4 linked regions of the Saccharomyces cerevisiae S288C genome follow. Changing the gene in region 1 together with any one later gene gives a genetic interaction. Each region holds a gene or a part of one and is shown in the gene's direction. Other genes may lie near its edges.

Region 1 (8,914 bases):
TTTTAAAATCGGGGCTATCCAATAGTTCCAATACTTTTTGTCCGACAGCACTAGTTTGAGCTTTATCATCGTTTCTCAGAGAATACAATTCATCGATATTGCTTAGTGATTTTTCGAGGCCATTGGCGTCCGAACCCAAGTCCAGCGATATTTCGGACCTTTGAAAGAAGTTACATTTCATTCCGACGCCTGCCATAGAGTGCTTCGTAATGTAAGCTATCAACATCTGTAGCACTTCGGGGTTCGTATCCCAGGCCCTAATGAGCCTCTTATGTGTATGTCTTTCAAAATTCTCTTTGGATTTAGCGTGCACGAAAGGTGATTTTATTACAGTCCACCTTTCTCTTCTCGTGGGCAAAGGTTTAGGACCTGTCAATGGGATACCCAAATAGTAACCTGTTCTAAGTATGAAGTCTGAATAAAAATCGAGGTTTTCATTGTCATACGATCTTAACTGAATGTCTGCAACTAAATCACCATATTTGATAGGTAACTTTAAAGGAGCATAGTAGACTGCCTCTACATTTACAGGATATGGGCGCGTCGACTGTGTTCTGATAAATGATCTTAATGCAATGGTATTTCTAAGCATTGGCCAATGTTTTTCCCCCTTTTCTGATTTTGCACGGTTCGCATAATTCTAATTTGTACCAAATAGTTTCATTTCATGCCCTTTCTTGCATTTTTTCCTTTTCAAAAGAAAATAGATGTACAGGTATTACCCGCCTGGTACATAGTTTGCTAACATTCTTGCCCAATCTCTCTGCTGTTAATAAAGGATGTGTGGATACATGACTAATTTCCGGATTAAACAGTGACGATAAGAAACGGTATGGCAAGAGTCAGAATTTGATAAGACTTCAGTAATATTGATTATCGGTCGAACTAAGCTACCCTCTTGGTTAAATTCTAATGACTACCAGTGTGGTCAATATTTTAGGGTTATCGGTGAACGATAACAAAATCCGTAATTGTTTCCTACGCTGGTTATTACTAAGTAGCCACTCGGTGGCTATCTCTAGCCGTTCATCAATCATGTCAAAAGTACAATCACTGAGCTTATTAAGTCATCCGCACGTGGAACTCACACAAGCCCCGAATTTTGTCAGCCATTCCGTGGAAAATCCTTTATCTCGTCACTCTTGTACGGAAGTTGCACCTTTAGCCCCACTCCCAGATCTTCAATCACAGAGGCAATGAGGGTGGCTGTGCAATGTAAACTTTCTTATCGCTTCCTGTTATGATTGATTACCATGCGCGGTAGAAGGATTGAATGAGGGGTGTGGGTGTGATAATTCATGTACGGACCCTTTCCTCCCAGAAGCTTCTGCACGAAGTGGTTACATTGTGAGTACAGGGTCTTAAACATCGCCGTGCGGCGTCATTTTGCGGGGCTCATCATTTATTTCCTACTTCTATGACGTTTGTTAGGGCAGGGATGTAGATTTTGGTCATATACTTTCACCTGACAGAAGAAAAAACAAGGTCTTAGAGCAGTATTCCCGAATTATTGCCTCTTTCCTTGGTGGGTGCGGGTTAATATTAGATGAACGGTGGGTTGTGGTCAAACCCGGGGTAGGTTTTAAAATGTCATGCGTTTTCGTCATTTACATAGATATATACAGGGAAAATATATATATATATATATATATATATATATACCTAAGGGAAACAATTTGAATAGATAAAAGGTCTTTTCCTCTTATTCCGTTCTTTCTTTTTAGAGTACTATTAATTTCTACTATTTCTCCTATCTTTCTTTTCTCATTAGTAATAGTCTAATCATTTATATTCTAATATTAACTTTAATAAAGCAGATATCTTCATCAAGTGAACTGTTCACACTTAATTCACATTTATTTGAGGCAACAATACGTATATTTACTAATTAAAGAAAAAACTTCGTACACAGAATTGAAAATTTTCGATGGGCGAAGGAACTACTAAGGAAAACAATAATGCAGAATTCAATGCTTATCACACGCTGACTGCAGAAGAAGCCGCTGAATTCATAGGCACAAGTCTAACTGAAGGTTTGACCCAAGATGAGTTCGTCCACAGATTGAAAACAGTGGGTGAGAACACATTGGGTGATGACACTAAAATTGATTACAAGGCAATGGTCCTCCATCAGGTATGTAATGCCATGATCATGGTCCTTCTAATATCCATGATAATCTCGTTTGCCATGCATGATTGGATTACTGGTGGCGTTATTTCTTTTGTTATCGCGGTCAATGTGCTCATTGGCCTAGTTCAAGAATATAAGGCTACCAAGACAATGAACTCTTTGAAAAACTTGAGCTCTCCCAATGCTCATGTTATTAGGAACGGGAAAAGTGAGACTATAAACTCAAAAGATGTGGTTCCAGGTGATATTTGTCTGGTGAAGGTCGGTGATACTATTCCTGCTGATTTGCGTTTAATTGAAACTAAGAATTTTGATACTGATGAATCACTACTGACCGGTGAATCTTTGCCTGTCTCCAAAGACGCCAACTTAGTGTTTGGAAAAGAAGAAGAAACCTCCGTGGGTGATCGTTTGAATTTAGCATTTTCTTCATCCGCCGTTGTCAAGGGAAGAGCCAAGGGTATTGTCATCAAGACAGCTTTGAATAGTGAAATTGGTAAAATTGCAAAATCTCTACAAGGTGATTCAGGTCTCATTTCCCGCGATCCTAGTAAGTCGTGGTTACAGAATACATGGATATCTACAAAGAAAGTTACTGGTGCATTTTTAGGTACAAATGTCGGTACGCCCCTGCACAGGAAACTGTCTAAGTTGGCGGTATTGCTTTTCTGGATTGCCGTACTTTTTGCTATCATCGTCATGGCCTCTCAAAAGTTTGACGTAGATAAAAGGGTAGCTATCTATGCCATTTGTGTGGCCCTATCCATGATTCCCTCTTCATTAGTCGTTGTCTTGACCATCACCATGTCTGTTGGGGCTGCTGTTATGGTTTCTAGAAACGTTATTGTAAGAAAATTAGATTCTCTGGAAGCTTTAGGTGCCGTTAACGATATCTGTTCTGACAAGACCGGTACTCTTACACAGGGTAAAATGTTAGCGAGGCAAATTTGGATCCCTCGCTTTGGTACCATAACTATCTCGAATTCTGATGACCCCTTTAATCCCAATGAGGGCAACGTGAGTTTGATTCCAAGGTTTTCACCTTACGAATATTCTCATAATGAGGATGGTGACGTTGGTATTCTCCAGAATTTCAAGGATCGCCTATACGAAAAAGATTTACCAGAAGATATTGACATGGATCTATTTCAAAAATGGCTCGAAACCGCCACTTTGGCTAACATTGCTACTGTTTTCAAAGATGACGCAACTGACTGTTGGAAAGCTCATGGTGACCCAACAGAAATTGCGATTCAAGTGTTTGCTACTAAGATGGACTTGCCTCACAATGCCCTTACCGGTGAGAAATCGACTAATCAAAGTAATGAGAATGACCAATCCTCTCTTTCACAACACAATGAGAAGCCTGGCAGTGCACAATTCGAACATATTGCTGAATTCCCATTCGACTCAACTGTGAAGCGAATGTCATCTGTCTACTACAACAATCACAACGAAACATATAATATTTATGGCAAGGGTGCTTTCGAAAGCATCATCAGTTGTTGCAGTTCTTGGTATGGTAAGGATGGTGTAAAAATCACACCATTGACCGATTGTGATGTCGAAACGATAAGGAAAAATGTTTACAGTCTATCAAATGAGGGTTTAAGAGTCTTGGGTTTTGCCTCCAAATCTTTCACTAAAGATCAAGTGAATGACGATCAATTGAAAAACATTACTTCAAACAGGGCCACCGCAGAAAGTGATTTAGTTTTCCTAGGGTTGATTGGTATTTACGATCCACCCAGAAATGAGACTGCCGGTGCAGTCAAGAAGTTTCACCAAGCTGGTATTAACGTTCATATGTTAACTGGGGACTTTGTGGGTACAGCAAAGGCTATCGCTCAGGAGGTTGGCATCTTACCCACCAATTTGTACCATTACTCCCAAGAGATTGTTGACAGTATGGTCATGACCGGATCTCAGTTTGACGGACTAAGTGAGGAGGAAGTGGACGATTTGCCCGTCTTACCTTTAGTTATTGCACGTTGCTCTCCGCAGACTAAGGTGAGAATGATCGAAGCTTTACACCGTAGGAAGAAGTTCTGCACAATGACAGGTGACGGTGTTAACGATTCTCCATCTCTAAAAATGGCCAATGTTGGTATTGCAATGGGTATTAATGGTTCAGATGTTTCCAAAGAAGCGTCTGATATTGTTCTAAGCGATGACAATTTTGCTTCTATTTTGAATGCTGTCGAAGAAGGTCGTAGGATGACGGATAACATTCAGAAGTTTGTCCTACAATTATTGGCAGAAAATGTTGCTCAGGCTTTGTATTTGATCATTGGTTTAGTATTCAGAGATGAGAACGGAAAATCAGTATTTCCCTTATCACCAGTGGAAGTATTGTGGATTATTGTCGTCACCTCTTGTTTTCCTGCTATGGGGCTAGGTCTAGAAAAGGCTGCTCCAGATTTGATGGATAGACCTCCTCATGATTCAGAGGTTGGTATTTTCACGTGGGAGGTTATTATAGATACATTTGCATATGGGATTATAATGACAGGGTCCTGTATGGCTTCATTTACTGGATCACTGTATGGAATAAATAGTGGTAGATTGGGGCACGATTGTGATGGCACCTATAACAGCAGTTGTCGTGATGTTTATAGATCACGTTCTGCGGCTTTCGCAACCATGACGTGGTGCGCTTTGATTCTGGCTTGGGAAGTGGTTGACATGAGAAGATCCTTTTTCAGAATGCATCCAGACACTGACAGCCCAGTCAAGGAATTTTTCAGAAGCATTTGGGGAAACCAGTTTTTGTTCTGGTCAATCATTTTTGGATTTGTGTCAGCCTTCCCCGTCGTCTATATTCCGGTTATTAATGATAAAGTGTTTTTGCATAAACCAATTGGTGCTGAATGGGGTCTCGCCATTGCATTCACAATTGCATTCTGGATAGGTGCTGAACTTTACAAGTGTGGAAAGAGGCGCTATTTCAAAACTCAGAGAGCGCACAACCCGGAGAATGATTTGGAGAGTAACAATAAGCGCGATCCATTCGAAGCGTATAGTACTTCTACTACAATCCATACAGAAGTTAATATTGGTATTAAACAATGATAGGCAGGGCCTATTAAGTGCTCCCTATCTTTTTCCTTATTCATTTCATATATTTAGATATTTACATTTATTTTGTTATTTGTTTTTTTATTTACTATAAACGAACTTTTCACAGGTTCTGAACATAAACAAGCCTAAATAGTATGTTTTCTAGTTCAAATATGTCTTAGAGGAATACTACTGCTATACTCTTATTGCTGCCGTTGTAAATCATGAAACAGATACAGTTACGTTACGCGTATGACAGGGTTCTTAACTAAAATTATGAATTTCAATACAGGATTAGTTAAATTCTTGTAGAATTAGAAAATTAATGCGTTTATTTCGTCAAGACTTTTCCTTCCAGGACGTTCAAATTCAACTCACATATATTCTTTTATCAAAATCCTTATATCACCGCGCGGTGTAATTGTGAGGCTGATGTTTTCTTCTTTAAATCTCCATATTATCTCTCGAGGCAAAGAAAGAGGAAAGAATTTTATTTTCCTTCATCCTTTACATCGAGAATACGTTAACCAAATCAACGTTATTCATATTCGTATTTTGCTTATCAGATAACGTATGTACTCACTGAGGAAAAATCTTTGTACACATAATTGAAAATTTTCGATGAGCGAGGGAACTGTCAAAGAAAACAATAATGAAGAATTCAATGCTTATCACACATTGACTACAGAAGAAGCCGCTGAATTTATAGGCACAAGTCTGACTGAAGGTCTTACTCAAGATGAGTCCCTCCGCAGACTGAAAGCAGTGGGAGAGAACACATTGGGTGATGATACCAAAATTGACTATAAAGCAATGGTCCTCCATCAGGTATGTAATGCAATGATTATGGTCTTGGTAATATCCATGGCGATCTCTTTCGCTGTGCGCGACTGGATTACTGGTGGCGTTATTTCTTTTGTTATCGCGGTCAATGTGCTCATTGGCCTAGTTCAAGAATATAAGGCTACCAAGACAATGAACTCTTTGAAAAACTTGAGCTCTCCCAATGCTCATGTTATTAGGAACGGGAAAAGTGAGACTATAAACTCAAAAGATGTGGTTCCAGGTGATATTTGTCTGGTGAAGGTCGGTGATACTATTCCTGCTGATTTGCGTTTAATTGAAACTAAGAATTTTGATACTGATGAATCACTACTGACCGGTGAATCTTTGCCTGTCTCCAAAGACGCCAACTTAGTGTTTGGAAAAGAAGAAGAAACCTCCGTGGGTGATCGTTTGAATTTAGCATTTTCTTCATCCGCCGTTGTCAAGGGAAGAGCCAAGGGTATTGTCATCAAGACAGCTTTGAATAGTGAAATTGGTAAAATTGCAAAATCTCTACAAGGTGATTCAGGTCTCATTTCCCGCGATCCTAGTAAGTCGTGGTTACAGAATACATGGATATCTACAAAGAAAGTTACTGGTGCATTTTTAGGTACAAATGTCGGTACGCCCCTGCACAGGAAACTGTCTAAGTTGGCGGTATTGCTTTTCTGGATTGCCGTACTTTTTGCTATCATCGTCATGGCCTCTCAAAAGTTTGACGTAGATAAAAGGGTAGCTATCTATGCCATTTGTGTGGCCCTATCCATGATTCCCTCTTCATTAGTCGTTGTCTTGACCATCACCATGTCTGTTGGGGCTGCTGTTATGGTTTCTAGAAACGTTATTGTAAGAAAATTAGATTCTCTGGAAGCTTTAGGTGCCGTTAACGATATCTGTTCTGACAAGACCGGTACTCTTACACAGGGTAAAATGTTAGCGAGGCAAATTTGGATCCCTCGCTTTGGTACCATAACTATCTCGAATTCTGATGACCCCTTTAATCCCAATGAGGGCAACGTGAGTTTGATTCCAAGGTTTTCACCTTACGAATATTCTCATAATGAGGATGGTGACGTTGGTATTCTCCAGAATTTCAAGGATCGCCTATACGAAAAAGATTTACCAGAAGATATTGACATGGATCTATTTCAAAAATGGCTCGAAACCGCCACTTTGGCTAACATTGCTACTGTTTTCAAAGATGACGCAACTGACTGTTGGAAAGCTCATGGTGACCCAACAGAAATTGCGATTCAAGTGTTTGCTACTAAGATGGACTTGCCTCACAATGCCCTTACCGGTGAGAAATCGACTAATCAAAGTAATGAGAATGACCAATCCTCTCTTTCACAACACAATGAGAAGCCTGGCAGTGCACAATTCGAACATATTGCTGAATTCCCATTCGACTCAACTGTGAAGCGAATGTCATCTGTCTACTACAACAATCACAACGAAACATATAATATTTATGGCAAGGGTGCTTTCGAAAGCATCATCAGTTGTTGCAGTTCTTGGTATGGTAAGGATGGTGTAAAAATCACACCATTGACCGATTGTGATGTCGAAACGATAAGGAAAAATGTTTACAGTCTATCAAATGAGGGTTTAAGAGTCTTGGGTTTTGCCTCCAAATCTTTCACTAAAGATCAAGTGAATGACGATCAATTGAAAAACATTACTTCAAACAGGGCCACCGCAGAAAGTGATTTAGTTTTCCTAGGGTTGATTGGTATTTACGATCCACCCAGAAATGAGACTGCCGGTGCAGTCAAGAAGTTTCACCAAGCTGGTATTAACGTTCATATGTTAACTGGGGACTTTGTGGGTACAGCAAAGGCTATCGCTCAGGAGGTTGGCATCTTACCCACCAATTTGTACCATTACTCCCAAGAGATTGTTGACAGTATGGTCATGACCGGATCTCAGTTTGACGGACTAAGTGAGGAGGAAGTGGACGATTTGCCCGTCTTACCTTTAGTTATTGCACGTTGCTCTCCGCAGACTAAGGTGAGAATGATCGAAGCTTTACACCGTAGGAAGAAGTTCTGCGCAATGACAGGTGACGGTGTTAACGATTCTCCATCTCTAAAAATGGCCAATGTTGGTATTGCAATGGGTATTAATGGTTCAGATGTTTCCAAAGAAGCGTCTGATATTGTTCTAAGCGATGACAATTTTGCTTCTATTTTGAATGCTGTCGAAGAAGGTCGTAGGATGACGGATAACATTCAGAAGTTTGTCCTACAATTATTGGCAGAAAATGTTGCTCAGGCTTTGTATTTGATCATTGGTTTAGTATTCAGAGATGAGAACGGAAAATCAGTATTTCCCTTATCACCAGTGGAAGTATTGTGGATTATTGTCGTCACCTCTTGTTTTCCTGCTATGGGGCTAGGTCTAGAAAAGGCTGCTCCAGATTTGATGGATAGACCTCCTCATGATTCAGAGGTTGGTATTTTCACGTGGGAGGTTATTATAGATACATTTGCATATGGGATTATAATGACAGGGTCCTGTATGGCTTCATTTACTGGATCACTGTATGGAATAAATAGTGGTAGATTGGGGCACGATTGTGATGGCACCTATAACAGCAGTTGTCGTGATGTTTATAGATCACGTTCTGCGGCTTTCGCAACCATGACGTGGTGCGCTTTGATTCTGGCTTGGGAAGTGGTTGACATGAGAAGATCCTTTTTCAGAATGCATCCAGACACTGACAGCCCAGTCAAGGAATTTTTCAGAAGTATTTGGGGAAACCAGTTTTTGTTCTGGTCAATCATTTTTGGATTTGTGTCAGCCTTCCCCGTCGTCTATATTCCGGTTATTAATGATAAAGTGTTTTTGCATAAACCAATTGGTGCTGAATGGGGTCTCGCCATTGCATTCACAATT
Region 2 (8,460 bases), on another chromosome or scaffold:
TTAACTTAAATAAAAGTTTTTTTTTTTTAGAGTTACCAATATCGCAAACATGAAAATGAGAATAAAAAAAAAAAAGCAGAAAAAAAAAAAGCATAACATGGAGAAAAAAATAATAAATAATTGAGTTTAGTTGAGACGCCGGTCTTCGCCAGGCCAGGAATTGTTTCACCAGGTCATTCTCTGCAAAGCCTTTACTTTAACATTTAGATTCTTCTTCTTGGCGGAGCCGCGACCATTGCTTCTCTTTTCGTCTGATTGTTTGCTAGTCGAAGAGACGTTACAGTAAGTACCAGCTTTCACGTAAACAGCAATGTCGTTGTCGTCGCCATGTTTGAAGCAGCATCTTCTGCCATAAGGACAATAACCTAGTTTCTCCCAATTCACACAGGGCTTCGTCCTGAAATTCTTGCACGATTTCTTAACCTTTAATTCGCCGAGTCCGTGAGCAAACTGACACTTACTGCCATAAGGGCAACTTCCTTTTAAAGTGAATGATTCGCACAGCTCTGTCTTGTATAATTGTTTGGGAGTTTCCTGCACTTGGCTTTTCACCTTAGGTTGAGCTGAGGATTCCTTCTCTGATGAAAAAGAAGCATCATTTTTGGGCTTTTGTTGAGACAACTGTTGCAAATTCTGTGAAGTTAATGGTAATTGTGAAGATTTTGGGACATAGTCCGGATTTATTTGTACCTCTAGTTTCTTTTTAAAAGTAGTAGGTGCCGTGCTATTCAGGTGAGCGGATGGGAGAAAAGGGTTCATTAACTGTGGATCATACAGTAGCCCCGGTTGAATAGCGTTTGTATTTTTTGGTGGAGAGAATGAAACTGCCGAAGATATTTCACTGCTTGTTTCCTGTATGTTATCCTCGTTTAAAATCGTCTTGTTGTAATACTCCTCCAGTTCCCTAATATTGATCTGGTACTGGTAGTCATTTAATGGATTTTGCTCTTGATCTGTGGAAAACAACGACGTTAAGTCAGTCTTCTGAGATTCTGGTCTAGTATATGATAATTGAGCCCACATATTGCGTTATTTTTTACGTATTGAGTTTGCAGCACTGTTTCGCTTTCTCTCAAGATGCACAAATACGACCTACCAAGAGCCTCCAAGTCCCACCAACGATTATGTCTTCTCTCAAATATATATACAAGTTACATGTAGAGAAATCGAGACGAGATTGCTGGCACAATGCACCCAACTGCATGTGCCATTGTGCATCTACACCTCCAAATTAGGGTGTCGATTGGCGTCGTCTTCTTTAATGTGGGTGCATTTTGCGGCGGCGCGACAAATATAGAGAACTGACCAAGGCAGTGCTGTCAAGAAGAGAGAATGGTTACGGCAGCGAAGACGCAAATGGGCTAGGCAGAATGGCATTCAAGTTATGGCTACTGGATGAGGAAACAATATACGAGCACGTGTTCGAACGGTACACACAATTGGAGGGCCAGTCCGGGAAACTGGCGCAGGATTTGGGTATTCAGGATAGAAGGGGCGGTGTGCTAGAGATAACGTTTGAACCCTCTGGGCTGGAAGGCGGCAGAAAAAAAAAGCGAGTGAGAAGAAGAAATAAGGCTAGTAGTGTTGAAGAAGATCAGAATGTTGCTGTGGATAGCTATCATGTTAGCGTGGGGCAGTCCATATCAAGCTTGCGCTCGTCCAGAGACAACGGAAACTCCACCACAGGATACGTTTTGTGGTCTACCACACCTTTCTTCATCAACTGGCTGCTGTATAGTACTAGCGCTGCACCTTTCCGTCTTGGGAGTCAGGTGGAAGTAACCTGCGGGTCTTCTTGCGAGGGGCACAAGCTTGAGTTGCCCAGGCTGGTCGACCTCACGGGCGCTGATCGCGGCAAGAGAGGTATCTTGGAACTTGGAGCAGGAATATCAGGTATTTTGCCCGTGATTCTTGGTAACTTCGTCGACACCTACGTGTCGACAGATCAGAAGGGCATTCTTAATAAATTAAAAGATAACATCATGGAAAACTTATCACAGTTGACCAGAAAGCGGTGCATTTCCCGATCACTAAGATTGGAACTTCCCACCGTCGAACCAGTTGGCGACGCTGATATCACCGCAGCGTCACTTCCATCTAAGTCTACGTTGCATTTGGAAGTAGCCGCTCTAGACTGGGAGAAGATAAACTTGCAAGACAAAAAGACCCACTCTCTGCATCCTGAGTTGTCACTCATAGGTGAAACATGTTCTTCCGTGTACGTTATAGCTATGGATGTCATATACAACGAGTACCTGATAGATCCGTTTCTGAAGACGCTCAAGCAACTCAAACACTGGTTACAAACTACCTACAATTTGCAATTCCATGTCCTCGTGGGGATACACTTGCGGTCACAAGAGGTGACAACACTGTTCTTGGAGAAAGCCATCATAGAATATGACTTCACGGTTTATGATATCGTTGACCAGGTCATACAAGAGTCCCGTTTTAACTTTTATCTTATCACCTAGTCCCATATATAATAATAGAAACAATATAATGCTGATAATCTTATTTTTCTTTGCGATGCGGCAGTGCCTCTTCCCCTCCGTACGGATTGGGAAGATTTTCATTTTTGATTAGCAAGGGCACTAAGCCAACTCTGTGTGATATAGCTAATAATCTAAAAGCTGCTGGATCCGTTATCGTCAAGATAAAGCGGACTTAGCGATTTACATAGGATCACACTTTCTACACACATTTGATTTTTAAGCTTCATTTTCCACTGCACTTATTTTTCCCAAGCATCGTGTTTTTTTGTACATTATAAAAAAAAATCCTGAACTTAGCTAGATATTATGGCTATCTGGGAGCAACTAGAAGTCTCAAAGGCGCACGTTGCTTATGCATGTGTTGGTGTCTTTTCATCTATCTTCTCTTTAGTGTCACTTTATGTCAAGGAGAAGCTTTATATTGGTGAGTCCACCGTAGCAGGTATATTTGGGCTAATTGTGGGTCCTGTTTGCTTGAACTGGTTTAATCCTCTGAAATGGGGGAATTCAGACAGTATAACATTAGAGATAACGAGAATAGTATTATGTTTGCAAATTTTTGCCGTTGCCGTGGAACTGCCACGGAAATATATGTTGAAGCATTGGGTATCTGTGACGATGCTATTATTGCCAGTGATGACAGCTGGATGGCTTATTATTGGTCTCTTCGTTTGGATTCTTATACCTGGCTTGAATTTTTCTGCTAGTTTGTTGATATCTGCGTGCATTACCGCAACAGATCCTATTCTGGCGCAGTCGGTCGTCTCCGGTAAGTTTGCCCAAAGAGTACCTGGTCACTTAAGAAATCTACTGTCTGCAGAGTCAGGCTGCAATGATGGTATGGCCTTTCCTTTTTTATTTCTTTCTATGAATTTAATCCTACATCCCGGTAATGGAAGAGAAATTGTCAAAGATTGGATTTGCGTTACTATCCTGTATGAGTGTTTGTTTGGATGCTTGCTAGGTTGCTTCATTGGTTATGTAGGCAGAATCACCATCAGGTTTGCCGAAAAGAAAAACATTATCGATCGTGAGTCGTTCTTAGCATTTTACGTTGTCCTGGCGTTCATGTGTGCTGGGTTCGGCTCCATTTTGGGTGTGGATGACCTATTGGTATCATTTGCAGCCGGTGCGACTTTCGCTTGGGATGGGTGGTTTTCTCAAAAGACACAAGAAAGTAATGTTTCTACCGTGATTGATTTGCTACTAAACTATGCGTATTTTATCTATTTTGGTGCCATTATACCTTGGAGTCAATTCAACAACGGTGAAATTGGCACAAACGTCTGGCGTTTAATTATACTTTCGATAGTGGTCATCTTTTTACGTAGGATCCCTGCAGTCATGATATTAAGACCTCTTATACCTGATATAAAATCGTGGCGTGAGGCACTTTTTGTGGGCCATTTTGGTCCTATTGGTGTAGGTGCAATTTTTGCCGCTATACTAGCTCGTGGAGAATTAGAGTCTACCTTTAGTGACGAACCCACTCCTTTAAATGTTGTACCATCAAAAGAGGAAAGTAAACATTGGCAGCTGATAGCCTGTATATGGCCAATAACTTGTTTTTTCATTGTTACTTCTATCATAGTTCATGGTTCTTCAGTTGCAATCATAACTCTAGGTCGTCATTTGAACACGATAACGTTAACCAAAACATTCACTACACACACCACCAATGGTGATAATGGGAAAAGTTCATGGATGCAAAGGTTGCCATCGTTGGATAAAGCTGGACGATCATTTTCATTGCATCGTATGGATACTCAAATGACTTTATCAGGGGATGAAGGTGAAGCAGAAGAAGGAGGAGGTCGTAAGGGACTAGCAGGAGGTGAAGATGAAGAAGGATTAAACAATGATCAAATTGGTAGCGTCGCAACGAGCGGAATTCCTGCAAGACCCGCTGGTGGTATGCCAAGGAGGAGGAAATTGTCAAGAAAAGAGAAAAGATTGAACAGAAGACAGAAACTGAGAAACAAAGGTAGAGAAATATTTTCATCAAGATCTAAAAATGAAATGTATGATGACGATGAGTTGAATGATCTGGGACGAGAAAGGTTGCAAAAAGAAAAGGAAGCACGCGCCGCCACATTTGCATTGAGCACAGCCGTCAATACACAACGTAATGAGGAGATTGGAATGGGTGGAGATGAAGAAGAAGATGAGTACACACCGGAAAAGGAATATAGCGATAATTACAATAACACACCAAGTTTTGAGTCGTCTGAAAGATCTTCATCTCTCCGAGGAAGAACTTACGTACCAAGAAACCGTTACGATGGAGAAGAGACAGAAAGCGAGATTGAAAGCGAAGACGAGATGGAAAATGAAAGTGAAAGATCAATGGCCAGTAGTGAAGAGAGGAGAATTCGAAAAATGAAAGAGGAAGAAATGAAACCTGGTACTGCTTATTTAGATGGTAATAGAATGATTATTGAAAATAAGCAAGGTGAAATCTTGAATCAAGTAGATATCGAGGATCGCAATGAGGCGAGAGATGACGAAGTTAGTGTTGATAGTACAGCCCATTCAAGTTTAACTACCACAATGACCAATCTATCCAGTAGTAGTGGGGGAAGGTTAAAGAGAATTTTAACTCCCACATCTTTAGGAAAGATACATTCATTGGTTGATAAAGGAAAGGATAAAAATAAAAACAGCAAGTATCATGCATTTAAAATAGACAATCTGTTAATCATCGAGAATGAGGACGGTGATGTTATAAAAAGATACAAGATAAATCCTCATAAATCTGATGATGATAAAAGTAAAAACCGCCCAAGAAACGATAGTGTTGTATCAAGAGCTTTAACAGCAGTAGGACTAAAGAGCAAAGCGAACAGCGGCGTACCGCCTCCAGTAGATGAAGAAAAAGCCATCGAAGGACCCTCCAGGAAGGGCCCAGGGATGTTAAAGAAAAGGACATTAACACCTGCGCCACCGAGAGGAGTTCAAGATTCCTTAGATCTGGAAGATGAACCTTCATCTGAGGAGGATTTAGGTGATAGTTATAACATGGACGATAGTGAAGATTACGACGATAATGCATATGAATCAGAAACTGAATTCGAAAGACAAAGAAGGTTAAATGCGTTAGGTGAGATGACGGCACCAGCGGATCAAGATGACGAAGAGTTGCCGCCCTTACCTGTGGAGGCACAAACAGGAAACGATGGTCCAGGTACAGCGGAAGGAAAAAAAAAGCAAAAGAGTGCTGCTGTTAAGTCGGCGCTATCAAAAACGCTTGGTCTCAATAAGTAATTTATTAATACACAAAGATATATTATTTTAGTATATATATAAACGAAATGCCTTTTTTATTTACATGTGTCGGAAATAGAGTAGATGCGGTAAAGAGGGGGAGGGGGGGGGGGTATGCGGTTTTGTCATTACTCTTTTCCGTTAAACTTAAAAGCTTAAAACATCATTGATAAAGGTTTTTAGTGAGGTTTCACTGGGGTTCACATTGATGAAATCTAATTGTCTGTAGGAGCCATTGTTCAAAAATCCGCGGCTGATATCTGAATATTGAATGATGTATTTATCATCTTGGGCAGTGTTCGTAGGAAATCGTAAATTCAAGACACGATGGGTCAAAACATCAGTCAATTGGTATTGCTGTATTAGGTTATCTGGTAAAGAAATGTTGATTTTTTTCATAAGATTCTGATATTTGTTTAACTTCCAGTGTGACTTGAGAAGAAATTCTTGGAGGCCTTTTTGTTCAGATAACCAAGCATCCGGATTGGTCTGGTCGAAATCAGGTAAAAGATCTTGAATGTAATCTGACGTGATCTTATAGTCTGTCTGGCATTGTGGAGTTCTTAAGATAACAGAATTTTCTTGTAATTTCAAAAGAGGCCTCATTGAGGTGGTAACAATGTTATCGAATTCGTCAATCTCGAACCAAATCTGCAAAAAAGGGGACGAGGAGGAGCCAGAGGTGGGCGGCACAGGAGTGAAGTTCAGCTGTATGAAGGATTGATGCGCATTTGTTATTAGATGTTGATCAAGAGGCACAGGCACAGGTACGGCTGATGATGATGATTCTTTGTACATTGGTAGATTCAGTAATTTTGAAATAAAACTCTTATGTATTAGAGGTTGGAAAATACTAGAAAAAGACGCGGACTGTAAGGAGTGACCTAGCGTTATTGATAAAGATTGGGAAATAGAGTCGGAAGGGGAGAGAGATGGTATATTTTTAGACAAGGAAGATTCGAATTGGCTGACCTGCGCATCTGTCAATTCTGGTGTGGCGTTTTCAGTGGGAGTCATCAGATCTGTGCAATTTTTAGGGACAACTGACTGTAATCTTGCCCAATCTTGTGACTTGTTTAGCCAGTCCAAGTTCTCTAGAGTATTGTTGAACGGATAGAGTTCTGTCTTGAGTGCTGGTGAGGCTATTGTGTGGTGGTGTTGAGTTGTGTTAGGATTAGAAGCGACGGCATTTAATAAAAAGACTTTGGCCATGGATATTTTCTTGGTGCTTAGGGCTGAAATCTTGTACATTTGCAAGTCCGGGAGGTATTCAAAAAAAGTGTGAGTTTCCTTCTGAATAAGGTTGATGACGTCTTTTGATGGCATGAGGGAATACATACGCACATTTTCATGAGTGATGTTTGACCATATTTTGTTTAAGGATATTTCTGCGTATTTGAGCAAGCTAGGCGAACCCTTGACGGTCAATTCGTTATCCTGAATGGAGATGATGAATGTCAGCCCGAGCTTATTGAAGTTGGTGAGTATTTTACCATTTTGAGTGATGAGTAAAAGGAAAATTTCTCTAGGAGAATCGAACTGGAAAGTCAATGATGTGGACTTGATGCCTGTGGGAGTGGTGGGTGTTGAAATTGGTTGGCAATTCCAGATTTTTTCAATTATATATTGGGACAGCTTGCTTTTCTTCCAGTGCGTCAGATGTGAAGAGGAGTCTGGCTGATGTGTGGAGATGAACTCGCGCAGTTGGTAGCGATTGTAGCTTGATGTAAGCGATTGGAGAAGGGCATTGTATTCCAGGGAGGGCAGACTGGCGCTTGTCGGTTTCTTCAATCGGATGGAGTTCAATGCGGAATCTAGTGAATTCTGCTTTTCGAAGACAAGGAGTTTCGAGCCGAAATCGAGGTTGTTATCTCCAGTTTCCTTATGGCTACGTTTCTTAGACGGCCTGTGTCTAGGCTGCTTCTGATCATTTTTCACTAGCCCAGATTGGGTAGGGTTCAAGACGACGAATTTCAGATTTTGCGGCAGTTTCTTCTTCCCATGAAGGGGCGAGCTTGGGCCTGAGCTTGAATAAAGACGGTAAGTAAGACGGGCGAGCTTTTTGTTGAATTTCCACATATGCTTACTCTATATTTTCTCCAGTGCCTTCAAGCTCCGTATATATTATGTACTAGTTTTATTACATTAAAGATACATAACTTTTTTTTTTTTTTTCAGTTCACTGAAATAAGAAAAGGCGGGCGAGGTGAAAAACAAAAAAAAAAGTATAGAGAAACAGAAGTGGAAGAAGAGCTAGGAAAGCACAGCGCATACGACGGTCACCTAGGATGGAGCACCAACAATTGCGGAAGTACGTCGAATTGTACAATAAGGAGGTCGAGGAATTCTACAATGGTGCCGCGTCAGGCCGCCCAGCTGAGTTCCATCCTTCCAAAGTACATGTAAAGAGCATCCATGAAAAGGCGGGTACCGCCAATGCTGGTGTAGAAATCTCTAGCGTTGGTGTAGACTGGGACAGCGAGGAGAAGAATACCTTTTTCTGGTGCCTTTCACGCTATAGTATCCACCGTGTAGACGAGTGGCGCTCATTGTTGCCTCGGAAGAGCGCCATGGAGATTCTAGGTTATTACAGGTTGTTAAGGAGAGCGAGTGCGAGCGCGAGATCGCGTAAGGCGGGTGACGACGGAGCGCCCATTGCGTACGAAATGAGCGCTGAGTGGGTTGCCCTGGAGACAAAACT
Region 3 (7,559 bases), 880 kb from region 1:
AGAATAATCGTTATCTTGCTTCCGTTTGATATTTGAGATAGTTGGAATGCTAGCATCTGCTGATTTAGAATGGCTGAACCCAGGCTTTGGACCGCTAGTATTTTTTTGTTTCGTTACCTCCGGTTCTTTAAACTCTTTTTGCAAATCTATTTCCAAATCGAACATTCTCTTTGCCGGTACAATAAACGTTGGAATCGGAAAATTAGTACACAGTTTATCTGTCAGAAAGTTCGATTTCCAACGAACTAAGCTGTCTGTTCTCTCCCACCTCAAAGTGCTAGATACAAAGAAATCAGGTAAATAGATGTTTATTGCCTCAAGAAGCGTTTTTTTAGTCTTGCCAATTAGGATCTCGACAGTGACCTTGACAGAACGATCTTGCGGAATTATGAGTGTAACATAATCAAAAAGATCTTGCAATTTACGTTCTATTTCGTTCTGCGTATAACCAGATGTCCACTCGATAAAATTTTGGTGCTTTAATTTGTTGTCAGATTCCTCAGGCCCCAGAGAAAGTGCCCTTCTTGTACATATGGATCGTGATCTCGATCTGGATCGTGATCTTCTTGCTGAGCTAACACTCCTGCTATCATCCATCATCATTAGCATTCTTTTTCGCTCACTCATCGAATCATTGTCTTCGAAATTATTCTTAGTCAGGCGGGGCAGGTTTGCCAACACAACAATGTGGTCTGTATTTTGAATCAAAGTTCGTAGCGCCCAATCTAGTGCTACCCAAGTATGTTTCCTGCCGCTGATGTGGCACAATATCGTTCGAGGAGTGTTCGGGAACCCAACCTTTTCGCTCAAAACACGCTCTTTCCGCTTTTGAGACTTAGTCAAAGGCGTAAAGCCGTCTTCTATGGGAGGATTGAATTTTATTGTGGGAGTAGCGCCCTCAGACGACTTTTTTTTGTTTGGAGGAAACAGTATTGTTGGGTAATTGAAGAAATCGCGCTTTTGTTCTAATCGATGATCTATCTGATTTTTCTTCTTGATCCATAGTTGTCTCCAATTGGCATACGCCCTACTAATCACAAGAGCGTCATTGATATCGGTGGGTGTAGTAGGATAGTCTTCCCTTACAATTTTACCATTTTCAGAAATCTTAAACATCTTACCTATTTTGATGTTTCTTTTAGAGGCAGGAGGTGGAGAAGAATACCTGCCGGGACTAGCACTGCCCTCTCGCCTACTCGAATAGCTATTCCCGGAGAAGTAGTCGGCATTGTTGTCCGAGGTAAAGCCACTTTCGTCGTCATAATATTCCTCCATTGTATAATCTGCAGAGATCTGCACGCCAGGAAATTCTCTTTTCTCTTCATCTAAGGGCGAAGATACCCTTGATCTGGGAACTGTGTTGAAAGATACGCATGGTAGGTACTTTTCGTTGCTGCCTTTCCCCTTCTTTTTGACGGAACTGCTCGAGTCCAATATCGAGGCTAGACTGCGCCTGTCATCATTGTTGGACTTGTCCTCGTCCTGCTTAGCGAGTATGTCCACCGTATCCTCCAGCTGGTCCTGCCTGACATACAGCTTAACATATTTATAAGAATTTCTCAACGCCTCATCTTGATCTCGTACCACCATTTCCCCCTATGTTTTAGTATCTTCTGTTCCTTGTACTTTAAAGATTCCTTCCCTTAAAAATAGAAGAAAGCTTCTATTTGTTGATATTGCTTTCGAATAGTGAGTGGACTCAAGAGAAGAAAAAAACCTTTACAAAAATTATATGCAAAATATGTTGGAAAAGACAAAAGGGTTTTAAGTTGTGTTTACTAAAAAGTATATAGATAATTCTAGAGGTTATTGAGACATGCAGAATGCGTGTGCCACACCACCGCAGGTGGGTCATTCGGAAATTGTTCCTGTTGCTGCAGCGTCTGCTGCACTTTTCGCTAGAACTTTTCCAGTCGGATAGGGAGACAAAATGAAAAAAGGCCTCGGACTAATTAACTGACCCTTCGCCAAGAGTGCGAGCCTTAGTATCTAGACGTCTCGCAGGACCGTAACCTTCGAGGAGACCTAGAAGAAGCCACTCGGGCACGAACTCGCCAGGAACACGGTAGTACTTGAGCCTAGGGACGACGAAAATGAGCGTCTCGAGGGCGTGAGTCAGGAACTCGGCAACAATGATGAGTCGCAGCACAAGATCACTATCCAGCCACGCCTCTAAGGTGGAGCCCACAGGATTAGGGACCAGGAAAAAGATAGCGTGCAGTGCAGGACGATAGAGGTAGCACAATGGCGGTAGCGCCACGCCTACCAGGATCAACAAGTCTACTAGAGTGCAGGGGTACTCAACAGTGTCGATCTGGATGAGCGACAGCTTCCTCTTCTCCGCAGCGATGCGGAACATCTTGTTGAAGATTTGCTTGATTCCGGTAGCAGTGCGGGTATCGTTGCCCGTGTCATTGTCAATGAAGTAGATAATCTTCTCGATGTTCTGACCCGTTTCTGTGTGAAGGAACTTGAGCGTAAACGTGGACGTCTGCGTGTCGATCTCTGTCAGTCTGACATGCTTGACGGCCTTGGTAATGGGAACGTGGCCAAAAACGGCGAGACAATCCTCCAGCCCCAACTTGTGCGTATCGTTGATGCTTACAATTAACGAATCCCACATACTTGTGTATACCCGTATACTTGCTTGAGTTGATAGAACGCACGCTCTCGCCGATATAAGCCTCCACTCTTTATATATACCATATCCAAATAGGTGTGCACTTTGTGGCAAGGAGTAATTATAAACGAACAGAATATCCCGACCACATGGCAAGACCAAGAAAGTTCAAGACTGCGCAAGAAACGGCAGAACAGAAGCTGCTCACTAACTTCAACCTTGTAACTGAATTCGTAGGGTTAAAACTCCACCACGTTTGTAGCGGAGCAATGTCGCCTTTAAGAAGTCGCTAGCTATCTCTTTCGCCTCCGTATAGCAATCATTGTCTAATGCAATCCGCCATCGTTATGTCCGCGGCTTTTGTCTGGAGGGCAAATCACGATAGGAAGAGGCATCTTCTGTAGTAAAGGCGTCTGTAGTAAAACCTTTTCTTGGAAGCCATAACAAATCATGGCCACCAATGCCTGGCAAAAAAGGGTGGCATTGAAGGGAAATTTCAAAGATTTTTTTAATAGAGGCCCTAGGAAAAAACATGTCCGTACGTTTAGATACGGTTATAAACTGTACAATCATTTGCTATCAAATGCTGAACCTTCCCCAAGGGACTAAAAGCTGGAAATGGCAGTGTGCTACTATTTCTTTTAGTCGTATATTTAACTCTCGATCTTGCAGGCTATGATGTCCCATATGATGTCCCACATGACGCAAGTAACTTCAAAAAAAGAGGAATTGCGTGGCGGCGTGGATGCAAAAGGATGGGCGTGATGATGGGACTCGAGACCTGGTTTTACTCAATGTTAGTCATATGTATATAGTCCTTATAGGCCCATATTAGAAAGTACATGTCATAGTTACCCTCTGCAGTTTTTCTCGTAGCGGAAGGGGATGGAAATTTTTAACGTAAAAGAAAGTTGGTAAGAGTATGGCACATCAACAGGTAGCGTTATAGGGGCCAAGACATAGCTTTGGGCTTAGTACTGTAGGCTTGTTACCAGAACTTTCATTTATCGAAATATTCTTTTTTCACATTTCCTCTTACTGCGCATTCGTGTCCAAACAGTCATTCAGGAAGTATAACGATAAACAATAGATTGAAGCCTGAAAAAAAAAAAAAAAGCACGACAATAGAAATTGTTTCAGTGTCATTGGCTTTTGATAATATATAGAGGCTGTTTCAATAATCATAGCGAAAGAAATAGAAGTTTTTTTTTGTAACAAGTTTTGCTACACTCCCTTAATAAAGTCAACATGAGCAGTAACAACAACACAAACACAGCACCTGCCAATGCAAATTCTAGCCACCACCACCACCATCACCACCATCACCACCACCATCACGGTCATGGCGGAAGCAACTCGACGCTAAACAATCCCAAGTCGTCCTTAGCGGATGGTGCACATATCGGGAACTACCAAATCGTCAAAACGCTGGGAGAGGGGTCCTTTGGTAAAGTTAAATTGGCATATCATACCACTACGGGCCAAAAAGTTGCTCTAAAAATCATTAATAAGAAGGTTTTGGCAAAGAGTGATATGCAGGGCAGAATTGAAAGAGAAATATCTTATCTGAGACTCTTAAGACACCCCCACATCATCAAACTGTATGATGTTATCAAATCCAAAGATGAAATCATTATGGTTATAGAGTACGCCGGGAACGAATTGTTTGACTATATTGTTCAGAGAGACAAAATGAGCGAGCAAGAGGCAAGAAGATTTTTCCAGCAGATCATCAGTGCCGTCGAGTACTGCCATAGGCACAAAATTGTCCATAGAGATCTGAAGCCTGAAAACTTACTACTAGATGAGCATCTGAATGTAAAGATTGCCGATTTTGGTTTGTCAAACATCATGACTGATGGTAATTTCTTAAAGACTTCTTGTGGTTCTCCCAATTATGCGGCTCCTGAAGTTATCAGCGGTAAGCTGTACGCAGGCCCAGAAGTGGACGTGTGGTCATGTGGGGTTATCCTTTATGTTATGCTTTGTCGTCGTCTACCGTTTGACGATGAAAGCATCCCAGTGCTTTTCAAGAATATCAGCAACGGTGTTTACACCTTGCCTAAATTTTTATCTCCTGGAGCTGCTGGGCTAATCAAAAGAATGTTAATCGTTAATCCATTGAACAGAATAAGCATTCATGAAATTATGCAAGACGATTGGTTCAAAGTTGACCTGCCAGAATATCTACTTCCACCAGATTTGAAACCACACCCAGAAGAAGAGAATGAAAATAATGACTCAAAAAAGGATGGCAGCAGCCCAGATAACGATGAAATTGATGACAACCTTGTCAATATTTTATCATCGACCATGGGTTACGAAAAAGACGAGATTTATGAGTCCTTAGAATCATCAGAAGACACTCCTGCATTCAACGAAATTAGGGACGCGTACATGTTGATTAAGGAGAATAAATCTTTGATCAAGGATATGAAGGCAAACAAAAGCGTCAGTGATGAACTGGATACCTTTCTGTCCCAGTCACCTCCAACTTTTCAACAACAAAGCAAATCCCATCAAAAGAGTCAAGTAGATCATGAAACTGCCAAGCAACACGCAAGAAGGATGGCAAGTGCTATCACTCAACAAAGGACATATCACCAATCACCCTTCATGGATCAGTATAAAGAAGAAGACTCTACAGTTTCCATTTTGCCTACATCTTTACCTCAGATCCACAGAGCTAATATGTTAGCACAAGGTTCGCCAGCTGCCTCTAAAATATCTCCTCTTGTAACGAAAAAATCTAAAACGAGATGGCATTTTGGTATACGATCTCGCTCATATCCATTAGACGTTATGGGTGAAATTTATATTGCCTTGAAGAATTTGGGTGCCGAATGGGCCAAGCCATCTGAAGAGGATTTATGGACTATCAAATTAAGGTGGAAATATGATATTGGAAACAAGACAAACACTAATGAAAAAATACCTGATTTAATGAAAATGGTAATTCAATTATTTCAAATTGAAACCAATAATTATTTGGTGGATTTCAAATTTGACGGCTGGGAAAGTAGTTATGGAGATGATACTACTGTTTCTAATATTTCTGAAGATGAAATGAGTACTTTTTCAGCCTACCCATTTTTACATTTAACAACAAAACTAATTATGGAATTAGCCGTTAACAGTCAAAGCAATTGATGGTGGAACGTAAAAGAATGATATGGAAGTTCCCTTTTTTTTATGTATCGTAACGTATTTGCAACATCTTTATAATATCCCTTTGTATAAAGTAAACAATCTTGATTAAATAAACCTGAACATAATTTATTGATGTGAATGTTCTTTTATTGGCATTATTTCTTCGGATGAAAAGCAAATTTCACGCTCTATGAGAAAAATTGAAAACGCTATTCTATGTGAAAATAGAGATGAGTACTACTAGTGGCTACAATAAAAATACTGAACCTTTGACAATCGTACAACAAAAGGATCCCAAAAATGAATAAAGACCAGGCAGAAAAATATCAAGAACGGAGTCTGCGACAAAAATACAACCTACTACATGTACTGCCAACACTGAATTCCAGAGCGTTATCGGGACTATACTATAAAAATTTTCATAATTCTGTGAAGCGATATCAAATCATGCTGCCAGAACAACTGAAAAGTGGGAAATTTTGCTCCCATTGCGGGTGTGTTTACGTTCCTAATTTTAACGCAAGTCTTCAGTTAACGACTAATACCGAGCAAGGTGACTCCGACGAACTTGGCGGCGAGAGTATGGAAGGACCAAAAAAATGTATCCAGGTTAATTGCTTGAATTGTGAAAAGTCTAAATTGTTTGAGTGGAAATCTGAGTTCGTTGTTCCAACATTTGGACAAGATGTTAGTCCGATGATCAATAGTACCAGCAGCGGGAAGGTTTCGTACGCGGTAAAGAAGCCCCAAAAGAGTAAAACTAGTACTGGTAAGGAGAGATCCAAGAAGAGAAAGTTGAACTCACTTACAAACCTTTTATCGAAAAGAAATCAAGAGAAAAAAATGGAAAAGAAGAAAAGTTCGTCACTGTCATTAGAAAGTTTTATGAAAAGTTGACTGTATCATCAGTGAACATATAGTATAACAAATCAAGTTTATATAGTTGAATTGAGAGTGTCTGTTAGCTCTTCGATTGACGGATAAGATGCATCCGCGTCGATATTGTTGAGATTAGGAATAGTACCGTTTATACTTTCCTCATCAGCGCGGTCATCATCACTACTGTGAGTTAGACCGCCACTCATTGAACCCTTCGTCACGCCATGTACGCCTTGCCTATATGTTTCTTCCCTCAATGGATTAACTACTTCCTCCTCACCAAGGTTTGAAGAAATACCAGAATCCAGTTTTTTCCGCACGCAACTGTTGGTCCACATTCGCCTTCTATATGAGCCCCTTTGTCCATCAAGATTGAGGTCATAGACCCATTTTGTTTCTGAATCTATCTCGACATACTGAATAAATTCGTCCTCTACCCATTCTTTTGGATCCAAATCAAGCACCCAATGAGAATTGGCTTCCCATTCCCAATCCTTAGGTGGCTCAATTTCTTCTAATGACTTCACTGAATTTTCCTCAATACGCCTCTGGTATATTCTCAAACTAGAGAAAAGAGAATAATCGTCATCAGAGAATCCAACTGGGCGCCATTCTTTGTATTCAGGAAGATACTTTTGGATCTCAAAGATCATAACAAGTCGGTGCTCCCTAGCCTCAATGAGTTTCAAATGCTGCAAAATCTTAGATTCCAGATTAGTACTTATAGTCAAAGTTTTTAATCTTGTCTCCTCCGAATTCAATTTAGTCAACAAATATTCACGATTGGACGGATGCGAGGCAATAAAAAAACCCCAACCTAGCAGTATCAGTACGGGTCTCATTGGAATGAGCTTGATAAATTTATCCATGTACAGAAAATTTAATGTTGCTATTATTAACAATACAATAA
Region 4 (7,345 bases), on another chromosome or scaffold:
TGATGAACGATAATTTTCAACAAGTATGATAGTTGAGTACTCGATGGGACATTTTCTGCCCATTTCTAGAAAGTTGTGCGCTAAGGCGTTTCTGAAAGCATATATGCTTTGATCAGGATCACCTACGATGGTCATCCCCCTCGAAAGATGATGATTTCCCTTAGCAAAAAGAAACATCAAGTCCAATTGAATGCCGTTAGTATCTTGAAATTCGTCAACTAAAACATGCTTTATGTTGGATAAAACACGCACTCTAGTCAGCAAACGAAAGGTGTACATTAATAAGTCATCAAAATCTAACGTATTTTTCTTGCTTAGCTCTGATTGGTATATTTGGTAAAAGTAACCAAGCGCGGCGTCATGATTCGAATCTAAGATGTATTCCTCAGGTAATATTGCGTTTGATTTTAGCTTTGATATCTGTTTCTTGATCAGCTTCGGATGAATAGTCCATTCATCTCCATTTTTACTCGGCATACAAAGATTTACTTTCCTTGTGATTGAGGAAGCATAATCCCTTATTTGGTCGGGAACTTTTTCGATCATATCATCTAAAATGACATCTATTTCCTTCTCATCAATAATTCTCCAGTCTTTCTGTAGATCCACCAAGTGGCCAAATCTATAAAGTATTTTCAGGCAAATACTATGAAAAGTACCAATTAAGAGCTCCGAAATATTCACGCCTGCCCCGCGTAACATTTCTTGCAAACGCTCTTTCATTTCGTTAGCAGCTTTGTTAGTGAAAGTAGTCACTATAATATCGCGGGGATGAATATGGTGGTGCAGAATAAGATACGCTACTCTTGAAGTTAAAACCTTAGTCTTCCCTGTGCCGGGACCGGCAATGACCTGCAGCCCTCTAGTGTAATCAAAGAGGGCCGCTGCTCTCTGTTGAGTATTTAACTGGGATACTAAATGCAACCAAAGATCATTGTTCGACGACATTTGCTATCCCTAAGTACCGGTAGAAGAAAGATCAAATTGGAATGATACTCAAAGTGCAGAGTACAATTATGGATGGCAAAAGAAACTAGAGGGACAGGAAGCTGTCTAAAAGCTGTAGAGAAATATTCTTATCTTGCCGACTGCAAATTTATCGAGACTCTGCGAAGGTAGCCTAAGCAGTAGTATCAGGATAGCTGGAGGTAACTCTAAACTCGCTCCTATTCTTCTTCAGCATCGTTCTAATTGTTGTCACTTTTGTTTGTTTTGGTTTTTTTGGGAGTTTTTCGCATTCGCGTCTCGTTACCCTAGCATGTTTTAAGCGGCGCTATCATTATGGTTGAAGAGAAAGTTGTAGTTTATCAACAGTTAGATACTTGATATACAATACGAAGCAGTGGTTGTGTATACAAGTGAAGTACTCAATGTAATATACATTACCTGAGTACTCAGTACCATCTTGGTTATTCAATATGGCAAAAATGCCTGACCCTATGTATCTTTTTCCATCAAAAATAGCCGCATCTCGTAGATCGTGAGCAGATGTCTTCACTCCTTTCTAGCAGTATAACAAAGCATATTTCTTGTATTTATTTTACCGATTTCTATATATATGACAAGGTTCATGAACAGCTTTGCCAAACAAACGCTGGGATATGGCAATATGGCGACAGTGGAGCAAGAGAGCTCAGCTCAGGCTGTTGATTCTCATTCAAACAACACACCGAAGCAAGCTAAGGGTGTTCTTGCAGAGGAACTAAAGGATGCATTGCGGTTCCGGGACGAAAGAGTTAGTATTATTAATGCAGAGCCTTCTTCAACACTGTTCGTCTTTTGGTTTGTGGTTTCATGCTATTTCCCTGTGATTACTGCCTGCTTGGGTCCCGTAGCTAACACTATCTCGATAGCCTGTGTAGTTGAAAAATGGAGATCCTTAAAGAACAACTCCGTGGTGACAAATCCACGAAGCAATGACACCGATGTTTTGATGAATCAAGTAAAGACAGTTTTTGATCCTCCTGGTATTTTTGCCGTTAATATCATCTCTTTGGTACTGGGTTTTACGTCAAATATTATACTAATGCTACATTTCAGTAAGAAGTTGACGTATCTTAAATCTCAGTTAATAAATATAACAGGATGGACAATAGCTGGAGGGATGCTTTTGGTGGACGTGATTGTATGCTCCTTGAATGACATGCCCAGCATCTACAGTAAGACTATCGGATTTTGGTTTGCCTGTATCAGTTCTGGTCTATATTTGGTATGCACCATTATTTTAACAATACATTTTATTGGATATAAATTAGGAAAATATCCTCCAACGTTCAACCTTTTGCCCAATGAAAGAAGTATCATGGCATACACTGTACTATTGTCTTTATGGTTGATTTGGGGTGCGGGTATGTTTAGCGGTTTATTGCACATCACTTACGGAAATGCATTATATTTCTGCACGGTATCATTATTAACCGTGGGACTAGGTGACATCCTGCCCAAGTCGGTTGGCGCCAAAATCATGGTTTTAATCTTTTCGCTATCTGGTGTTGTCTTGATGGGTTTAATAGTGTTTATGACAAGATCCATCATTCAAAAGTCCTCTGGCCCAATTTTCTTTTTCCACAGAGTTGAAAAAGGCAGGTCCAAATCGTGGAAACATTATATGGATAGTAGTAAAAATTTATCTGAAAGGGAAGCGTTCGACTTAATGAAGTGTATCCGACAAACGGCCTCAAGGAAGCAGCATTGGTTTTCTTTGTCGGTGACTATTGCAATTTTCATGGCTTTTTGGTTATTGGGAGCTCTTGTATTCAAATTCGCAGAAAATTGGTCGTACTTCAATTGTATTTACTTTTGTTTCTTGTGCTTATTAACCATTGGATACGGAGACTATGCTCCAAGGACTGGTGCAGGCCGTGCTTTTTTTGTGATTTGGGCGTTGGGAGCCGTGCCATTAATGGGGGCTATCCTATCTACAGTCGGTGATCTGTTGTTTGACATTTCCACTTCTCTGGATATTAAGATCGGTGAATCATTCAATAATAAAGTCAAGTCCATCGTTTTTAATGGGCGTCAAAGAGCACTTTCCTTTATGGTGAACACTGGAGAAATTTTCGAAGAATCTGACACAGCTGATGGTGATCTGGAAGAAAATACAACGAGCTCACAATCCAGTCAAATTTCTGAATTCAACGATAATAATTCAGAAGAGAATGATTCTGGAGTGACATCCCCTCCTGCAAGCCTGCAAGAATCATTTTCTTCATTATCAAAAGCATCTAGCCCAGAGGGAATACTTCCTCTAGAATATGTTTCTTCTGCTGAATATGCACTACAGGACTCGGGGACCTGTAATTTAAGGAACTTGCAAGAGCTACTTAAAGCCGTCAAAAAACTACATCGGATATGTCTGGCGGATAAAGATTACACACTTAGTTTTTCCGACTGGTCGTACATTCATAAACTACATTTGAGGAACATTACAGATATTGAGGAGTACACACGCGGACCCGAATTTTGGATATCACCTGATACGCCCCTCAAGTTCCCGTTAAATGAACCTCATTTTGCTTTTATGATGCTTTTCAAGAACATAGAAGAATTAGTTGGTAATCTAGTAGAAGACGAAGAGCTTTATAAAGTTATAAGCAAAAGAAAATTTTTGGGTGAGCATAGAAAGACACTTTGATATACAAACACCCGAAGCATTGATTTATATCTTACTGTAGACTACTACGGATGTATTCTCTAAATATTTATATTCAGCATCTCAAAATAAATACTGAAAGCATTTTTCTGCTGTAAATGCGCTTTCAATATTATGCACCCGTTGCGTCTCGCATTAATGTGGCTGAGCTCCAGTAAGGGAAAATAAAAAACAAAAACTGTTCGCTTATTATATCATCTCTTGTTGCTAAAGCACACATCAAATGATACCAACGATTATTATTATTACGAAGTTGTATTATTTATATTCTATCAAATGGCAAACACTGTAGGAGGAATTCTGTCGGGTGTAAATCCGTTCCACTACAACTCCAGTTCGCCGCTTACATTATTTCTCTTTCAAGCATGTCTCATACTACTGGTATGCAATTTAATTCACATTCCCTTTTCAATGATGAGGCAGCCTAAAGTCATTTCAGAAGTTATATCTGGTGTTATTTTGGGGCCTACTATATTTGGTCAAATTCCAAACTATACAAACACAATTTTCCCTACATCATCGATCCCGGGGCTAAATTTAGTGGCGAATTTGGGAATAATACTGTTTATGTTTTTTTTAGGTTTAGAAGTGGATATTGCTTTCATCAAGAAACACCTAAAGAAAGCACTCGTGATAGGTATAGTCACTTTAGCAGTGCCATTCGGTTTTGGTTGTCTGCTGGCGATTCCTTTATTTCACACTTATGCAAACAAAACAGAAGGCGAAAGGCATATTAAATTCTCTGTCTTCATGGTATTTATAGCTGTTTCCATCTCCGTTACGGCTTTTCCAGTTTTATGTCGTATTTTAAATGAATTGCGCTTGATCAAGGATAGAGCAGGTATCGTTGTCCTTGCGGCGGGTATCATTAACGATATAATGGGATGGATTTTGTTAGCATTAAGTATTATTCTTTCTAGTGCAGAAGGGAGCCCTGTCAATACCGTTTATATTCTGCTTATCACGTTTGCATGGTTTTTGATTTATTTCTTTCCCTTAAAATACCTATTAAGATGGGTGCTCATAAGGACCCATGAATTGGACAGAAGCAAGCCTTCACCGTTGGCAACGATGTGCATTCTATTCATCATGTTCATTTCTGCTTATTTTACGGATATTATTGGAGTTCATCCTATTTTTGGCGCCTTCATTGCTGGCTTAGTAGTTCCTAGAGATGATCACTACGTTGTTAAATTAACAGAAAGGATGGAAGATATTCCTAACATTGTTTTCATTCCAATCTACTTTGCTGTTGCAGGATTAAATGTCGATTTGACTCTATTAAATGAGGGAAGAGATTGGGGCTATGTTTTCGCCACAATCGGCATCGCCATTTTCACCAAAATTATTTCAGGTACTCTTACAGCTAAACTTACTGGCTTATTTTGGAGAGAAGCCACTGCAGCCGGTGTTTTGATGTCATGCAAAGGTATCGTTGAAATCGTTGTCTTAACTGTTGGTTTGAATGCGGGCATTATCAGTAGAAAAATATTTGGTATGTTTGTGTTGATGGCATTAGTTTCTACTTTTGTCACTACTCCTCTGACTCAGCTTGTTTACCCAGATTCATACCGGGATGGTGTTCGCAAATCCTTATCTACACCTGCAGAAGATGATGGTGCAGCAGATGGTCTCGATTCTGAGGGTGTGGACAAGACTGAAATTAACACTCAACTTAATTCATTGGCAGATGTTAGCAAATATAGAATTGGTGAACTGACCACGGTGATAAACACTACAGAAGCGATCTCTCCATCTCTAAAGCTGCTAAATTACCTGTCTTTAGGGGTATCTCCCAAGCCTAAGAATAATAAACATAAGAACGAAACCTCCTTGAGCAGAATGACAACAGCTACTGATTCCACATTGAAATCTAACACATTCAAAATAAAAAAGATGGTTCATATCTGGTCTAAAAGCGTTGACGATGTGGATACCAATTTAAGTGTTATAGATGAAAAATTGACCCCGTTTGAGGGAGTCGGTGCATTGAGGGCCATTCATTTACGATTGCTCACTGAACGGACAACTGATCTGCTGCAATCATCTTCTCTATATAATGATGATCCCCACTTTACCGCAAATACAGATTCACTATTACAAATTTTTGATATATTTTCAAACCTGAGCAAAATACCATTTTCAAGTGAAGTCATATTTTCTACAATGCGTGAAAAGGCAGCTAATATAGCGACGATGAAAATGGATTCCACAGATCTGATCTTATTGCCATTAAAAGGGGCCTCGTATGAGTATAGAGGGAGCCCAGTCTTCATTGATGAAAAATACGCAAACTTTGATCACATTTATTCTCATCTCCTAGGTCTGAATGAACTATCATCTACTTTCTTCAAGTCTATTTTCCAGTCACTCAAGGCAAATTTTGCCGTTCAAATTTCAAATACCTATGGCAGATTAAATGCTGATCGCTTTAAGAGGAAACGGTTCAATTTATTACTTCCAAAACCATACCTGACACAATCCGATTATCTTGGACTATATCTTCTCTTATTGATATGCTATAGAGATGGCTATAATAATGATAATGCATCCTGTAGTATATTTATTAACAGCAAGAATATTGATTTCGCAAAAGATTTGTCAACTGCATTTGCTGAGCATGACTGGCTAAACGAATCTACCATTAAAATTGTGGATATCCCCTTTGAAACGAAAGTTCCAGAAGAAGCAATTGAAAAGCCGTCCTTTATAGAGACTGTGCTTGATGTTGGTTTATCAGATACTGCTTTAGCTGATATAGAGGAGACTACCTTTATTATTGGAGAGGACCTTCCTGATGAAAGTGAGCCCTTCAGCGAAGAGGTGAGGACTGTAATATTTGAAGGGTCGAATCGTCGTTTTGACACCCTTATTGTGCACCATTTTTCGTCTGAATAAGTATCAGCAGAAATTTTTTAATTTTCTTTGTTCTTAATTTTCAGTCATTCCGTCATTCCGTCATCTATGTTTATTGTTCTATATTATTACGTATGCATAAATATCTTAAGTATAGATCGATCCTAATAGCTATTCAGTTTTATTCTCCTGAGAGGTTATCCTTAATTTTGAAGAGTTTAACTTATCATTTGACTTTATAAACTTCGCGAGTCTGGTAGATTTGAAATTGAATGTTTCATTTACTTCACTAAAAGGATGAGAAAGAAGCTCGTTAGCGGTTGGCCTTTTCTCTGGATTTATCTCGAAGCATGCGTCCAGAAAATTTCGTCCGATTTGCGATATCAATGGTAAAGTGTCCTCAGGAATTGGTGGTGCCGATTTTGACTTTCCAATTTTGAACATGGCTGCGACGACTTCTAAGTTGGACCACGGGCGCTTACCAGCAAACATTTCCAGAACGATGCATCCCAGAGACCATATATCAACTTTTGCACTGTAGCCTTGCTTTGTATCAACCATTTCAGGAGCCATCCAGAAGACTGTTCCTCGCATGGTCATATCCGAATTAGAGTATATGTCCTTTGATTTTCTTGAAATTCCGAAGTCACTGATTTTGCAGATACCATCTTGATCCAAAAGTAAGTTGTCTGCCTTCATATCCCTGTGGAGAATACCTTTCGAGTGTAGGTATGCCAATCCTTTTAATACTTGTGTTGTTAAATGTTTGATCAACGGTTCATCGAATCTTCCATACATTCTAATCAAGGATCCCACGGAGCCACCAGCAACATATTC

Evidence for each region.
Region 2: mutations in ENA1 (region 1) and NHA1 impair growth when combined (synthetic growth defect), as found in Saccharomyces cerevisiae (6 studies listed by BioGRID, with this or other methods).
Region 3: of ENA1 (region 1) and SNF1, a mutation in one rescues a mutant of the other (synthetic rescue), as found in Saccharomyces cerevisiae (2 studies listed by BioGRID, with this or other methods).
Region 4: of ENA1 (region 1) and TOK1, changing one enhances a phenotype caused by changing the other (phenotypic enhancement), as found in Saccharomyces cerevisiae (2 studies listed by BioGRID).

Annotation. Positions count from the first base shown.
Region 1 is NC_001136.10:531,481-540,394, reverse strand, and holds ENA1 (Na(+)/Li(+)-exporting P-type ATPase ENA1), read left to right. Parts: upstream 1-1,927; coding exon 1,928-5,203; downstream 5,204-8,914. Other genes in the region: mitochondrial 37S ribosomal protein uS10m RSM10, read right to left, coding at 1-592; Na(+)-exporting P-type ATPase ENA2, read left to right, coding at 5,813-8,914. UniProt on the Saccharomyces cerevisiae protein: Catalyzes the hydrolysis of ATP coupled with the export of sodium and potassium from the cell. May export potassium less efficiently. May transport other cations such as lithium.
Region 2 is NC_001144.5:415,636-424,095, forward strand, and holds NHA1 (Nha1p), read left to right. Parts: upstream 1-2,801; coding exon 2,802-5,759; downstream 5,760-8,460. Other genes in the region: TIS11 (Tis11p), read right to left, coding at 166-1,023; RKM5 (S-adenosylmethionine-dependent methyltransferase), read left to right, coding at 1,371-2,474; SLS1 (Sls1p), read right to left, coding at 5,907-7,838; RRN5 (Rrn5p), read left to right, coding at 8,048-8,460. UniProt on the Saccharomyces cerevisiae protein: Sodium export from cell, takes up external protons in exchange for internal sodium ions. Also capable of exporting potassium ions.
Region 3 is NC_001136.10:1,408,505-1,416,063, forward strand, and holds SNF1 (AMP-activated serine/threonine-protein kinase catalytic subunit SNF1), read left to right. Parts: upstream 1-3,868; coding exon 3,869-5,770; downstream 5,771-7,559. Other genes in the region: JIP4 (Jip4p), read right to left, coding at 1-1,590; YDR476C (uncharacterized protein), read right to left, coding at 1,949-2,623; SNM1 (Snm1p), read left to right, coding at 6,071-6,667; PEX29 (Pex29p), read right to left, coding at 6,706-7,559. UniProt on the Saccharomyces cerevisiae protein: Serine/threonine protein kinase essential for release from glucose repression.
Region 4 is NC_001142.9:251,026-258,370, reverse strand, and holds TOK1 (Tok1p), read left to right. Parts: upstream 1-1,558; coding exon 1,559-3,634; downstream 3,635-7,345. Other genes in the region: DNA helicase SRS2, read right to left, coding at 1-948; KHA1 (Kha1p), read left to right, coding at 3,929-6,550; mitogen-activated protein kinase kinase kinase BCK1, read right to left, coding at 6,680-7,345.